Elephas maximus indicus: one gene and its partner. The protein of the gene in region 2 purifies or fractionates together with the protein of the main gene of each other region. This does not show direct contact. Links are inferred from orthologs where the notes say so. Each region holds a gene or a part of one and is shown on either strand. Other genes may lie near its edges.

Evidence for each region.
Region 1: the proteins of ATP2B4 (region 2) and NPTN purify together in Homo sapiens (co-immunoprecipitation; 3 studies listed by BioGRID and IntAct, with this or other methods). This does not show direct contact. The link is inferred for Elephas maximus indicus from reciprocal best matches to the Homo sapiens genes ATP2B4 and NPTN.

What each region holds. Positions count from the first base shown.
Region 1 is NC_064831.1:63,744,807-63,752,823, reverse strand, and holds the start of NPTN (neuroplastin), read left to right. Parts: upstream 1-4,775; 5' UTR 4,776-4,853; coding exon 4,854-4,944; intron 4,945-8,017. UniProt on the Homo sapiens protein: Probable homophilic and heterophilic cell adhesion molecule involved in long term potentiation at hippocampal excitatory synapses through activation of p38MAPK. May also regulate neurite outgrowth by activating the FGFR1 signaling pathway.
Region 2 is NC_064836.1:12,759,435-12,766,552, forward strand, and holds the start of ATP2B4 (plasma membrane calcium-transporting ATPase 4), read left to right. Parts: upstream 1-3,897; 5' UTR 3,898-4,315; intron 4,316-7,118. UniProt on the Homo sapiens protein: Calcium/calmodulin-regulated and magnesium-dependent enzyme that catalyzes the hydrolysis of ATP coupled with the transport of calcium out of the cell. By regulating sperm cell calcium homeostasis, may play a role in sperm motility.

The DNA of each region.
Region 1 (8,017 bases), on a different chromosome or scaffold from region 2:
TCTTTGTGTCGAGGTGTAATCCATACTCAAGGCTGTATGTAGTCTTCGATCTTCATCAGTAAGTGATTCAAGTCCTCTTCACTTTCAGCAAGCAATGTTGTATCATCTGCATAATGCAGGCTGTTAATGAGTCTTCCTCCAATCCTGATGCCTGGTTCTTCTTCACATAGTCCAGCTTCTCGGATTATTTGCTCAGCATACAGATTGAATAGGTATGATGAAAGGATACAACCCTGATACACACCTTCCCTGACTTTAAACCATGTAGTATCCCCTTGTTCTGTTTCAACGGCTACCTCTTGATCCAGGTACAGATTCCTCATGAGCACAATTAAGTGTTCCGGAATTCCTGTTCTCCAAATGTTATCCATAATTTGTTATAATCCACACAGTCGGATTCCTTTGCATAGTCAGTAAAATACAGGTAAACATCTTTCTGGTATTCTCTGCTTTTAGCCAGGATCCATCTGACATCAGCAATGCTATCCCTGGTTCCTCGTCTTCTTCTGAATCTGGCTTGAATTTCTGGCAGTTTCCTGTCATACTGCGGCAGTTGCCTGGGGCCATGCTCTCGGGGGTTTCTCTAGTCTCTGTCAGGCCAGTAAGTCCGGTCTTTTTTTGTGAGTTAGAATTTTGTTCTACATTTTTCTCCAGCTCTGCCCGGGACCCTCTACTGTGATCCCTGTCAGAACAGTCAGTGGTGGTAGCTGGGCACCGTCTAGTTGTACTGGACTCAGTCTGGTGAGGGCTGTGGTAGTTGTGGTGCGTTAGTCCTTTGGACTGATCTTTCCCTTGTATCTTTACTTTTCTTCATTCTCCCTTGCTCCCGAAGGGGTGAGACCAGTGGAGTATCTTAGACGGCCACTCACAGGGGTTTTTTTTTTTTGGAGGGTGGGTTGACATCATTTATCAAAATGTAAAGGTCATTTATTGAGTCCACATCTAGAATTTATCCTGTAGACATACCGTATGCAAAACCTAAGTACAGAAATTATTGTTTCTAATATGGAAAAATTAGAAATAACCTTCTGAACAAGTACTGAGTTGAGAGACCTTCATATTCATTCCTGGAATTGATGAATTTTTTTCTGTTTTAAATAAGAAAAGTAGTGGTTCAAAAAGTAAAGAGGTACAGTTAGATGTATTGAATTGGAAAGATGCTAGCAATATTATCACGAGGGAAAGTGTAAATGGAGTTAGGAGAGTAGCAGTTGGGTGGATTCCTTTTTTTTTTTTTTGATTGCACTTTAGATGAAGGTTTACAGAACAAACTAATTTCTCATTAAACAGCTAGTACACATACTGTTTTATGACATTGGTTAACAAACTCACAACATGTCAACACTCTCCCTTCTGACCTTGGGTTCACTATTACCAGTTTTCCTGTCCCCTTCTGCCTGCTAGTCCTTGTGCCTGGGCTGTTGTCTCACAGGCTCTTAAGATCCCAGATGCTATCCACCAAAGTAGAATGTAGAACATTTTCTTTATAAACTATGTTATGCCAATTGAGCTAGATATTCTCCGAGACCATGGTCCCCACAGCCCTCGGCCTAGCAATTCAGTCCCTCAGGGAGTTTGGATGTATCTATGGAGCTTCTGTGACCTTGCCTTGAACTAGTCGTGCTGGTTTCCCCAGTATTGGACCACAGAGATTTTTAAGTGTATGTAAATATTAAAAGAAAAAAAAATCCAAATTCCTTTATAAAGAAATAACTGAATTATTGGAAAGTTTTATTTAATCATGTATTTTTTTTTTCCAACAAAAGGGTACTTAAAGTACAACTACTGTAACACGGGGTTTGATAACATCTTCTCCATGGGTAAAAAGGGTTGGTCATGACTGCAGGCTCTGAGAGTTTGTTGGTAACACCTGTGCTTCAAAAGTTCTTCCCAAATCATTTTTGGAAGATGCATCAAGTAGTCGATAGGACATAGGGCTGGGGTGAGAACTGTAGCAGCAGCAGTAGTAATGGTATTTATCACCATCATCAACATTTGAGTGTTTTCTATGTACCAGACACTGTTCTAAACACTGTACATAAATTCACTCATCTATTCCACTTATGGGAGCCCTGGCGGTGCAGTGGTTAAGAGCTTGGCTACTAACCAAAAACAGTTCGAATTTACCAGCTGCTCCTTGAAAACCCTACAGGGCAGTTCTACTCTGTCCTATAGGGTTGCTATGAGTCAGAATTGACTCAACAGCAACAGGTTTGGTTTTGGTTTTTTATTCCACTTACAATCTTATGAGGTAGGTACTATCATTTGTCCCATTTGACAGATAATTAAAATTAGGTCCAGGGAGATGAGGTCACTTGCCCAAGATCACCCAGCTAGTAGAAGGTGGTGGCAGTGGTGTGTTTATGTAACTTGGGTTTCATTTTTCCCCTAACCAGAATAGTACAGGTTATGCAATCAGAGCAAATATCCCTATATCTCTGCTTAATTCAACAAACCAAACCAAAAAACCCAACCCGTTGCCATTGAGTTGAATCTGACTCACAGCAACTCTACAGTGGTACCTCTCTAATGTGGGTTGGCAGAAGGCTTGGCTCACTGTGCTAACTCAGGAATCCCCAATGACATAAGCTTCATTTTTTTTTTAAATAATTTTTATTGTGTTTTAACTGAAAGTTTACAAATCAAGTCAGTCTCTCACGCAAAAACCCATATACACCTTGCCACACCCTCCCAATTACTCTCCCCCTAATGAGACAGCCTGCTCTCTCCCTCCACTCTCTCTTTTTCATGTCCATTTCGCCAGCTTCTAACCCCCTCCACCCTCTCATCTCCCCTCCAGGCAGGAGATGCCAACATAGTCTCAAGTGTCCACCTGATCCAAGAAGCTCACTCCTCACCAGCGTCCCTCTCCAACTCATCATGAGCTTCATTTTCACACGTGTTTTCACCCTCGCTTTCACTGATCACCATGCAGGCAAAAGAGCATGCTAGTGTCTGCACTGGAAGTGAAAAGCTTTCTCGTGAAAGTGTTGCATGTTCCTTCTCACATTTCATTGACCAGAGCAAGTCACATGCCCCTCCCAACTTCGAAGGGGCAAAGAAATCTTACCATGAGCCTAGAAGGATGCAAACAAAACTATTTGCCATTCACGATTACCACAAACACTCTGTGACCCTGGGCAGGTCATATCCTCTCTCGACCTCAGTTTCCTTACCCACAAAATGAGCACAACAATCCCTGCTTTGCTCACCCTCTACTTTTGTTATAAGGATCAAATAGGGATGTTTGCTGTGGTCATTGTGGTTGCACCCAGCCAAAGTTTTCATCAAATGAAAATCTGGGTCCTGTTACCACCAGCCCTGTAGTTCTCTGTACAGGGCTGTTTGTGGACTAGCCTTTGTCCAAAGATACATGCCCACCTCTTACTCACACACCTGGGGTCTTGAAGCATATAGTTTTCACTTAATCAACAAAACAGTATAATTGTCCTGGCCCTTGCTAGAAAGCTCATTTAAAAATGTCCAGCTATCTAGTTCCTGTTGAATACTCCAGACCACTTTGACTTGAGAGAGACTGCAGGGCCCACAGCGAGCACTCCTTCCTCCAGGTTCCCAAGCTCTCTCTTTCAATCAAGTCAGGTCCTCATGACTGTTTATTTGGCCCCTCGCAGTTTCACTCCAGGCACTCCCAAGATGCCTGCTCTGAGTCAGGAATGAACTAAGCCACAGAAACTCCTTTGCCAATCAGGGACCGAGCACGCTGAAAGTAATACAAGAATTGCCCATATGAAGAGCTTTCCCCAAACTTCAGGGGAAACAGTAGCGATCGCTTAACAAATCAACCTCCAGAGCGCTTTGCTGACTCCTTTCCTTTGGGTGGTTTTGCTACGCGGTCATTTGCCCCTCGTTCACTCCTCCGATAGACTAGGTTTGAACTCCGTTAGGGTGGGGCCCTCTTTTCATCTGGGTTCCACATGTCAATACATGTCCGTTGCATTACAACGCTTCTAAAGAGTCCTCATACAAGTTAATACTTAACTTCCTTGTAGAATTTAATGTTTATGACGTGCAATTAGTTTAGTTGAACTTTCAGACCCCTTCGGGCCTTGAGATTCTATGAACTAAAATAAAGCCAATATAGACGGGTGGGGGTGGGGGGGAGGAATGGGAAACGACCGAAAAGGAGGCCATTTCAGGCAGAGGCAGCAGATGTGGAGGCAGGAGAGCACAAGATAATACCGGGCAAAGGGAGCACATCACCTTGCCTGAAAGGGAAAAACACGAAATGCGAGAGAGGTTGGGGCCAGATACCAGTAGGGCGTCTGTGTTCAAAGTTCAGGGTCAAAACATAGCAGGACTCTCACAGGGGACCACGAACGGATCAGATTGGTAGCCAAGAGCTCTAACAAATGGAAGACACGATGTGTGCAGAAAATATATTGTGTTCCTAAAGCAACCTCTTATTTCGTAGCGCTCCGGTTAAACTGATCACAAACTTCTCGCTTTCTCTGCGCCAGGACAGCGGGCGAAGCCCCGCCTCCCCTCGTCACGTGGCCGCGCGCCCTCAGCACGTGACCTACCTCTCACTAGGCCAATCAGCCTCTGCAGGGGCGGGGCGCGGAGTCCAAAGGGCGGGAGCATTAGTCGAGGCCGTTTCTTCTCGCGATCCTTGCAGCCGTCGCTCATCAGCCGCCCACGGCCGGGCGCCAAGGTCTCGCGAGGCTTGGGCGCTGCGGCGGTTGGAGGAGGACGGGGAAGGACGGAGCCGAGCCGCGGTTGCTTCCCTCGCTGACTCCCTCGCGCAATTGCCCGCCCCCTCCCTCCCTCCCCTCCCTTCCCCGGCCCCGGCTCCGGCCCCGGCCTATTCGCTGTTCCGTCTGCTGCTAGGGAGAATGTCGGGCTCCTCGCTCCCCAGCGCCCTGGCCCTCTCGCTGTTGCTGGTCTCCGGCTCCCTCCTCCCAGGGCCTGGCGCCGCTCAGAACGGTAAGCGGGGCGCCGGGGGCGGGTCGGGCGGGGGCCGAGGGCGCCGGCGGCTGCGAAGGGCCCGTCCGGGGCCGGAGGAGGTGCGGAGCCAGGGGAAGAGCCTGAGGGCTGCGGGTCGGAGAGGAGATGCCGGTCGGCGTTGTGTGCGGACAGGAGGCGCCTGTCCGAGGGGAGGGGGCGTCCGACATGAGCCCGAGGTGTTGCCGACTTAGACCTGTGCATCGTGGGGCTCGTCGCTCCACGTCGGGGAGGGGACACCGAAGAAGCCCTGTGAGGAGCCGGAGTAGCGGGGGCGGCTGGGGAGGGGGCGCAGCTTTTAAATAAGGCGGCAGAAGACAGGCATTTGTGTTCACAGGCGAAGGGAGGGGGTGTCGGTTAGGCTTCCCGAGAGAACTGGGGTCCCGGGAGCGGGGGTCCCGGGAGCGGGGGTCGTCGAGGACTCTCCTGACGCTCGTAAGTCTCTTGACAGGATTCAAAATAAGGGAGGGCGAGCAGAGTACTAGAGCCCTAAGGAGGGGTAGAGAATCAGGGGACCTTGGATATGGGGGTGGAGGGAAGGTGGGTGGAAAGCTGAGGGAGTGGGGTGACTGCAGTAGAGGACCTGGGAAGAAAAGCAGCGGTGGCTTTAAGCGACATGGGAGGGAGAGGGCTGGATTTGCTAAGAAGGGCGGAGTGCTGGACATTCTAGGGTAGTGGTTGGAAGGGGTTCCTAAATAAGGAGAGGAAAGAGGTTGGGGAGAAAGGGTTGAAACTAAAGTAGAAAAAAAAAAAAAAGTAGGGGGAATATTTATTAGAGACCTGAAGGTGCCGGGGTATAGAGATGGGGGGGGGGGAGAGACAAAAAATAAGGGAAGGGAGTAAAATGCAGGAAGCCGGGGGTGTAGTGTTGGTTTGCAGTGGGGAGGATATGTGAGCGAAGGGAGGAGCTGGCTTGTGGCAAGTGCTGTATGATACTGGTTGGGCCTCCGGGACGGCAGGGACACTTCGCTGAAACTGCAGTGGTGGGATTGAGGGCAGTTGGCTGGTCAGAGGGTGGTGGAGGAAGTGGGTTTTTGAGATCTGAAAAGTTTCAAGACAGACATTATTTCCGAGGAGCATGAAAGTAGTCCTTGTAATGTGTGCAGTGGAAAAGAGAGAATTGAATTTTGAAATGTAGCTCTTTGGAGAAGATGGAGAAATGGTGGGGAATCGTGGTGATGGGGGACCTAGGCAATAGATTCTGATTGAAGGCGTGAGTTACAATTCAGCGGCTTCTTTGATCTTTCACAGGTGAGACTAGACAGCCATTAAGCGGTTTAAAAAATATTTTTATAGGAAAGAATGTATGAGAAGTCAGTACTGGAGAATGAACCATAATTATTTTTGCTAATCTTTCAGTGTTTTTTCATTGTTGTGTTAGAACAATTTAAAATTACTGTTAGAATAGCTGGAATTTAAATGATTTTCATTTTATTTTATTTTTTTTTAAATCGATGATAGAGCCAGTGGAGTCGAACGTTCTAAGGAGAAACTGGGCTTAAAATGCTGAAGAGTACCATGAAAATATATCAGTGAAATCATTGGTTAAATATAAAAGTGTTCATTTTACCAAATAGAACTAATCAAATATCTTGTGTGCTTCATTGCTTTGGTTTACTCACTGCAGGGGTCAGAAAAGAACTATTTTTCTGTCTGTGGCTTGAATATGCTAAGTATATGAGGTATTTTTCCTGCTTTCCTTCAAAGCACAAGGCTGCTGTGGAGGCAGGGCAGAGTTAGTCTGATAAAAAAAAAAAAAAGATACGTCTTACTATTTTTCATCTGTGCTAACAGGATGTCTTAAAGAAGCCTAATACTAATTCAGCTATTTGATTTGTGAAATACATGGTTTTGTTTTGCACAATAGGTGGGAAATTCTTGATTTCAACATGTTTGATCTCTGCCGGCATAGCTTCTTTCAGTGATTTATAGTACGGTGAAATTATAGTTTCTTAGCAACTAAAGCAAGGTTTTTGGATAGGCCTAAACTCCTCTGGCTGTTTTCAGTGATGTGTGTTCTAAATACAACATAGTACATACAGCCTTTTCCTTGAAATGAGCTTAAATTCAGACACGTGACATGACCGGTGAAGTGAAGCTGAGCCAGTAATTGACCGAAATGAATGTAAATTTAATTCAGGGAAGAAATGGCTACTTTTTGAGTTTGGGTTCATACGTTCGTATAGATAAGGATGCCATTTTAGAGCTTTCTATAACATTTTTTTTTTGACAAGATTCAAGTTTTCAACTGTTAATAGTCTGACCTCATGTCATGGAGTTTGTATTTTCTTACTGTCCTTCGAAAATGGATACCATGTGAAATGTTAGGAGTTTTAGGTTATCTATGTAAAATGATGATTTGAAAAAGAATTTAGGTGTTTCTGGATTGGATATTTGGTAGTTTAGATTGAGTATAGATTTTTATTTTTCCCAAAAAGCCTCTGTTTCGTTATTCCTAAAATGAAGAATTCGGACTAGATGACCTTCACGGTGTCCCTGAGTACATTTTAGAGGTATATTTGCTATTGATTGTACATCTCCTCTTTGGGTGAATGGAAATAAGCAATAGAAGACAAAATCCTGAGTCTCTGACCATTACCACAGAGATTCAGTGCTTTCGTTCGTATAGATTTTGTTTTCCATTCAGACGGTTTAGACTTGTAGGACCACAGTTTCAAGTAAAATCCTTATTTAAGTTGTTGATTTTTGTATGTATCAACAAAAGTGTACTTCATTTTAAAGGATGAAAATTGCCTGAAAAATAACCCTCTTAAGACAGGTTTTAGCTTTAGGCTAAAATTGAAGGAGTGTAAACCAAGCAGTATAATATGGTGATCAAGAGCACAGGCTTTGGGTCTCTGTGTTTGAGTCCCAGCTCTTCTACTCTGCAGCTGAGTGACTTTGTGTCGGGCATTTACTACCTCCGAGCCTCAGTTTCCTCATCCCTTAGGGATGATGTGAGGATTAAATGAGACAGTAGCCATAAAGCACTTAGATTTCTGCTTGGCATGTAGTGAATCTCAGTAAATGTTAGCTATTACTATTATTTTCCTCT
Region 2 (7,118 bases):
AGCCGGGCTACAGCTAAAGAAGTAAAGTCAAGAGGAGGACAAGGATGAAAGACAAATGGGGTTACTCAGAGGCTTAGGGGAGCTGAACCTTGCAGAAAAGCCAAACTATGAACTTCTGATGCCAGAAGCAATGCCCTCCCTCCTGCCACAGGGGCACAACTCCACTTTCCCACATCTAGTGGTTATTTTTATGGATGGATTTATTTTTACCCATTCTAGACCTCAGCTCCAAACCTGCTGCTGGAAGCAACAAGGCACTGAGGCTTCTGGGTTTCCAGAAAGCACAGGCTTCAGTGGCTGGCTCACCTCCAGAAATCAGGCTTAAGTCACCCCTGGAGTCACCTTGTCCTACCACCCAAATCCCTCTCTCCTGTCTTCATGGAGGCTGGGGTGGGAATGGAACAGGGGAATTTCTCTTTTCTCACCCCACAACCCCCCAGGCAGAGAAGGGAAAGCAGTGGGCTCTGAGAAAAGGGAAGACCTACAACAACCATGCTGTTGTTGTTAGCTGCCATCAAGTCAACTCTGACCCGTGGCGACCCCGTGCATGCAGATTAGAATTGTGCTTCACAGGGTTTTCAAGGCTGTGATGTTTTGAGAGTAGATTGCCAGGCCTTACTTCAGAGGTACCTCTGGTGGGTTTGAACCATTAACCTTTTGGTTGGTAGTCCAGTGTACCACCTAGGGACTCCTTCCAACTACCTTAGAAGTCACAACCTGGGCTCATCCATGAAACCTAGCCAGAGGAGGTGGGACAGACATTAGGCTTCTTTCAGCAGCGCCTGCCCTGCTGAGCCTGTCTCCCTGAAGCCCAGGGAATTTAAGAAAAGGCTATTGCCTTTCCAATAATGACCAGCTGTCACCTGGCATCACGTCCAGCCCCCACATGCCAGACAGCCAAAGCAGACTTCCCCTTTAGTGGAGCCATACATCTGGCCTGAATTATTATTCCCCCAAGAAAAGTTTATCGAAGAGTTAGGCAATGCCTCCACATACAGCCACTGAAGACAAGCTTAAAATATACTGTAATACATTTAAAGAGCCATTTCGGGGACTGGCTTTCTCATGATAAAGATGCAACCGACACTCACTGGGTGCTAAAATGTCAAGTTGTTGCAATCCAGCAGAGAACATAACAAGCCACTAAATGTGAAGCTCTGTTCAGCTGATTTCTTTCCATTCATTCCCTTGCCTCCCCCAACAATTGATTTTGGTTCGTGAAGTTGACGTTTTGGTGGGACCTACCAAAATCTGAGAAGGTGTCCTTTCTATCCCAACCATCAGTAAAAATGAGGAGAACTCACAAGGCCAGTGCCAAGTTCTTCCACCGAAATGCCCTGGAAGGATAGGACCAGAAAATTGGAGAGAGGGGTGGGGTGCAAATGAGAACAAAACCTCACCGTAGTGTCCTCTAAGTGCCTAGGAACAGGGCAGTGGTGGCCCAGAGGTAGAATTCTTGCCTTTCACAGGGGGAGACGCGGGTTAGATTTCTTACCACTCGTCTGTCAGTGGAGGCTTGTATGTTACTATGATGCTGAACAGGTTTCAGCAGAGCTGAACTAGACTAGGACAGACTAGGAAGAAAGGCCTGGTAATCTACTTCTGAAAATCAGCCAGGGGAACACTATGGATCACAATGATCCAATTTGCAACTAACCATGGGGATGGTGCAGGACTGGGAAGCATTTTATTCTGTTATGCATGAGGTCACCGTGAGTCAGGAGCAGACTTGACAGCAGCTAACAACAATGATAAGTGCCTAGGAGGGCAAGAACTTCAAATCCTAGGAAAAAAGAACTGCTTGAGAAAATCCCATGGATGGTTTCCATAGATGTTGTTGCTGTTAGGTGCTATCAAGTTGGTTCCGACTCACAGCAACCCTGTGCACAACAGAAAGAAACACTGCCCAATCCTGCGCCACCCTCACAATCATTGCTACGCTTGAGCCCATTTTTGCAGCCACTGTGTCACTCCATCTCATTGAGGGCCTTCCTCTTTGTAGCTGATCCTTTACTTTACCAAGCACGACGTCCTTCTCCAGGGACTGGTCCCTCCTGATAACATGTCCAAAATAACACGTCCATGAAATGAAGTCTTGCCATCCTCGTTTCTAAGGAGCGTTCTGGCTGGACTTCTTCCAAGACAGATTTGTTCGTGCTTTTGGCAGTCCGTGGTATATTCAATATTCTTTGCCAATACCATAATTTAAAGGCATCAATTTTTCTTCAGTCTTCCTTATTCATTATCCAGCTTTCATGTGTCTTTGAGGCAACTGAAAACACCATGGCGTGAATCAGGTGCACCTTAGTCTTCAAAGTGACCCCTTTGCTTTTTAACACTTTAAGGAGGTCTTTTGCGTCAGATTTGCCCAATGCAATGCATTGTTTGATTTCTTGACTGCTGTTTTCATGGGCTTTGATTGTGGATCCAAGTAAAACAAAATCCTTGACAACTTCAATATTTTCTGTTTATCATGATGTTGCTTATCGGTCCGGTTGTGAGGATTTTTCTTAGAAAATTGGGAAGGGTGCTGACTGGCAGAATCCAAACCCTTGGGTTTCATTCACAACTCTGTTTCTCCATGTGCACAGTGAAATGGCCAGAAGGCTCTGTGTTCTGGGGAAGGGAAGGCTGCAAAGGAGGACAGGTGTTGTGTGAGGTGTTGGGTTAGGATGTTTGGATTAAAGAGGCCTTCTCCCAAACCTCTGTTAAGAAGGTTGGGAAGTTGTAGTCAGTAACCTTCTTCACAGCAGAATTTGCAGCTATAACCTATGAGGTGTGGGTTAACCTGCCTCCCATAGTCATGTAAATGTGAGTGAGCTTGTGTGCTGAGGTGGGTGTGGGAATCTATCAGTCAATGAAGCCGTGTTGTGCGAACCAGCTGATGGTGCATGTTTGTACTTGAAAGCCATAAAGTTCTATGCAAAATCTATGGGTGGCACTGTTGCACAATGCTGGTGGGGGTGTGAGTTTGGCGGTGGGATTACCTTTGTAGGCTGTATGCGAGTGCGCATGGATGTCTGAAATGTGTGCCACAGGACTGCAGAAAAGTACATGGGCTTGGGAGTCAGCCTGATTTGGCCTTAACTCCTGGTTCTGTCATTAACTAGATGTGTAAACTTGGGCGAATCACTGGGTCCTTATTTTCCTCACCCACAAAATGAGAACAATAATAAATATCTTTCAAGATTGCCGTGAGGATTAGAAACCATACCACATATACAAAGCTTCTGGTGTCCTAGGTGGCACATCGTAGGACTCAGGGTAGGCAGCTATTATCACCCACCCTATATGGCCTCTGGTGCGTACAGAAGCAAGAGAGGGCAAAATGCCACCCAGGAATCTGTGTGTGAAATCTGGTGGAGAAGGTTTGTACCAAGGTGTGTACATAAACAAAGCTACACACACACACACACACAGAGTGCAATTCCTTCTTCCACTCCAGGAGTCCCTATTCAGAGGGGCGGGAGGGTGGGAGATAAAAGTCTCCGCAGATTCTTTGGGTTTCTAGGCTTCTGGGTCCCGAGTCTAAGCCAGTAAGAAGTTGAGAGGCTGGTAGGAGCTGCAGGAAGCCAACCGCCTGCAGAAGCTTCCTTTTTTTCCCTCCACCCAGCAACGGTTGAATACCGCCACCCATATCCACTCCCCACCTTCCCCCCCCACCCCCCCACCCCCGACTCTGCTTTCTTTTCAACAAGTGAGAGTAAGGGCGGGGAGGAAACCCGAGTGAGAAGGGGATTCCTCCGGTTCCCTTCCCCATTCCCCCTTAAGACACACCAGGAAGCAGCCGCAGCGCGCGGTCGGGCCACCTTAACAGCGGAGTGATGGTCTGGCCTGGCGCCAAGTCCCACCTCGGTTCCAGCTCCGGCTCCTCCCCTTGCTCCGCCCGCACTGCTCCGGGGAGCTGGTGAGCGAGGGTCTGGCCGGAGTTGGCAGGAGCTGTTGCCATGACAAGCATTTTCTTAAGAAAGCTCTGCTGTTGAGGCCATCCAAATCTAGGGACTGGGGGTGGGGGGGGCGCCAACTTCCTGGGGAACCATCCCTCCAAGGAGAGCAAGATCAAAGACACCCGCCCAGCTCTCCCGAACCCTTTTTCTTCCAGGGACCTGAGAGGTCTTTCCCTTTGGAAGGGCCGAGGAGGAAACCCAGCCCACTCCCCGGATCTGGCAAGAAAGGCCAGAAAGCAAAGCCAGCGTCGCTAGAGCGGTTGCCACAGTGGGGAGGCCGGCGGGTGGTCACCGTCACCCTATCCCGGTCCATGGTGACCCGGAGGGAGAGCCCCGCTCGGAGAAGCCCGGATCCTTGCTAGAAAGAGGTAGGCTTGCTTGGAATGAATTGACTCTTGATTTGCAAACTTTCTTTCTTTCTTTTGAATCGTTTTAAAACTCCCTGAATTTCTGCTTCCGAGCATATTTTATGTGACTGGGTTTGGAGATTTGGGGGGATTTTTTCCGTGTGTGCCTGTGAACAGATTTGTCAAATATTTCTTTCCTGGACTTGGTTCTGAGAAATCACATAATCAAACAAGTGATTTCTTTTGTTTTTCCTGGTTCTTGTCATTCCTGGGCTGTGGGGGTTAGGGAAACGACAGGACTGTTCTGACACCCAAATTGAGCTCTTAGAAAAGCATTTATTTCTCCCGTCCGTTCCTGTCCTCCGCCTCCCCCTTGGCTTGGGAATCAGACGCAGAATGGAAAACTGTTGCAAAAATATTTTCCGTGTCTGTTCTCTTTCTCGAAAGCCCCAAAGAGAGATGGAAAAAAAAAAAAAAAAAAAAAAGAACCAAGTAAGAAATCTTCAGCAGGAAGGAGGGGCTGCAGTGGGGACTGGAAAAGGGGTGCCCTGGGGGGGGGCTAAGAGAGGCGCACAATGGGAAGGGGGGTGCACAAAATAAATTTCTTTGGCTTTGCGGAGAAACCTCGGCGTTTTCTCTCTGCCTCTTGAAAACATCCTCAGACTTTCACGGCTATAATTAGCTGTGGAAAAAAGCTAGGAGTTCCCTAGTACCGCTGTTGTTTGAGTGTGTGCCAGCGTCGGGAACCAACTGTATGAGTGTGTCTGAAGGGCACCACCCCACACATCTCGGGTCCCAAAAGGGAGGAAGAAGGGGTGAAGTTGGAAAGTTTGCGATGTCAAGGCCGGTGACCTGGGGCTGGTGAGGGCTTGCCGTTTGGGGGTTGCCGAGAGGCATCCTCGGGGAAGTCGGGGTGGGGGGAGTCCCTGAAGCGTCTTGGGCCTCAGTGTTGTTTTGCTGAGGAGCTAGAAACTAAGGCCGGAATTGTCCCTCCTGCCCTTCGTTCTCACACACACACCACAGTCTCACACACTCACATCCTAGGCCCACTCCCGGCGGAGGATCCCGGCTGGCACCCTCCTTGCAGCGAGTCCAGCCTCACACGCGCCATCGCGCCAAGGCACCCACTGCTCTTCTCCAGCGGGATGTGGAGGGCCCGGGAGTGGCAGCGGCCGCCGCATCCTGGGAGAGGAGTGGGCACTCTGTTAGCCAGAGGCGCCTCCCTCCTGGGCATTCCTGCAGGACTTACAATAACTTGCAGACAAGATGCTGGCGCTGCTGGCCTAGTAGGGGGAATGTCAGATGAAGAAATAGGCGGGCACTCAACCGACGCCGCTGGGGGGAAGGGAAAAAGGGGTAGGGAGGGAGGGAAAATAAAATCCGGTTCCACAGCGCCATCTCCTCTTCTGGGTGGGGTGCCACTCTCTCTTTGAGCCCCTCCCCAGAGCGGCCCCTTCTCTCTGCCCTTCTCGTTTGGATGACCCCCCTCCAGCCCCTCACTTCTGGGCCTTCTTTACCTGGAAGGAAGAGATCAGGGGGGTATTCCAGGCTGGGACGGCGGTGGAGAGAGGCCTTGGGGTAGGGAAGGGCTGGATGGAGAGGACCTTAGGAGGAAGGGGGCTGGCAGAGGTGGTGGCTAGTGAGCCCACTGACCCTCCTTGGCTGTGGATGGTGGCTTCGGGGGGCTGGCTCTGGAGGGGTGGTGGCAGCTTGGTGGACAGGTGGTCTGGAAGGTGACTCCTGTCCCTGAAGCAGGCAAATCTGTGGGCAGCGGGCTGGGGGAGAGGAAACACCTGCCCTCAGCCCCAACTAGAGAAACTGGGGAGGAAGGAAGCAAAAGACCAGGAGAGCTTAAATGGGGGACAGGAAGCAACAGGAACCACTTTTCATTTTGAGGTGTTGGAGTATTGATCTGGCTGCACCCCAAGGCTAGATGGCTTCTCCCTGCCTGTGTTCTGTTCCAGAAGGTAATGAGGCCTTCTCCAGTGCTAAGAGGTCACAAGCCATAATCAGTGCCCTTCCTCTGTAGGAAGGGGGCCCAAGGAATCCATTTCTTTGCTACTTATCCAGGAGCCCCATCCTCCTTTCCACCATCTTGCTGAGGTGCAACCCCGAAATCAGGCCGCACCGTGCCCTTCCTTGTGCCCTTCAGTGTGCCCTTGCGTCTTGGGGGTACTGAATCTCACCATTCGGGCAGCAGGCCTATTTTCAGTATTCTGACTTGGAGCGGATCCTTTTGGGGGAGGGCTTCTGCCTGCAGGTTCCGATTTAGCGCCCACCTTGGCGCCAGCTCCACGACCTGGTGTCCTGGGTAGGGGGCAGCGGTGGAGCCTGCTCTCTGCAGCCCCAGCCGGTCTCGCGGGTGCTCCAGGGCAGGGATCGATACTGCAGCAAGCCCGCGGACCCCTCCCCTCTGGGCTGCCTCGCCGCCCCGCCTCGCCCCACCCCGCTCCGCCGTCAGCCTCTCCCGCAGCTCGGCTCCACCCTCCCCGGGTCTGCCGTAATCTAAGTACTCGGTGGAGAAGATGCTAGTGCTGCAGGAGCGGGGGTTTGCTGCCGTCCAGACCCTGCTAAGGCTCAGTCACTTCCCCTTCCACTTACCACCTCCGGTGCTTGGATTTGGAAACCCTGGTGGCGTAGTGATTAAGAGCTATGGCTGCTAACCCAGAAGTCAGCAGTTCAAAGCCACCAGCTGTTCCTTGGAAACCATGTGGGGCATTTCTACTCTGTCCTATAGTGTCACTATGAGTCCGAATTGACTCGACGGCAACGGGTATTTCGGTAGGGTCCTTGGATTCATGGAGCCCTGGTGGCACAGTGGTTA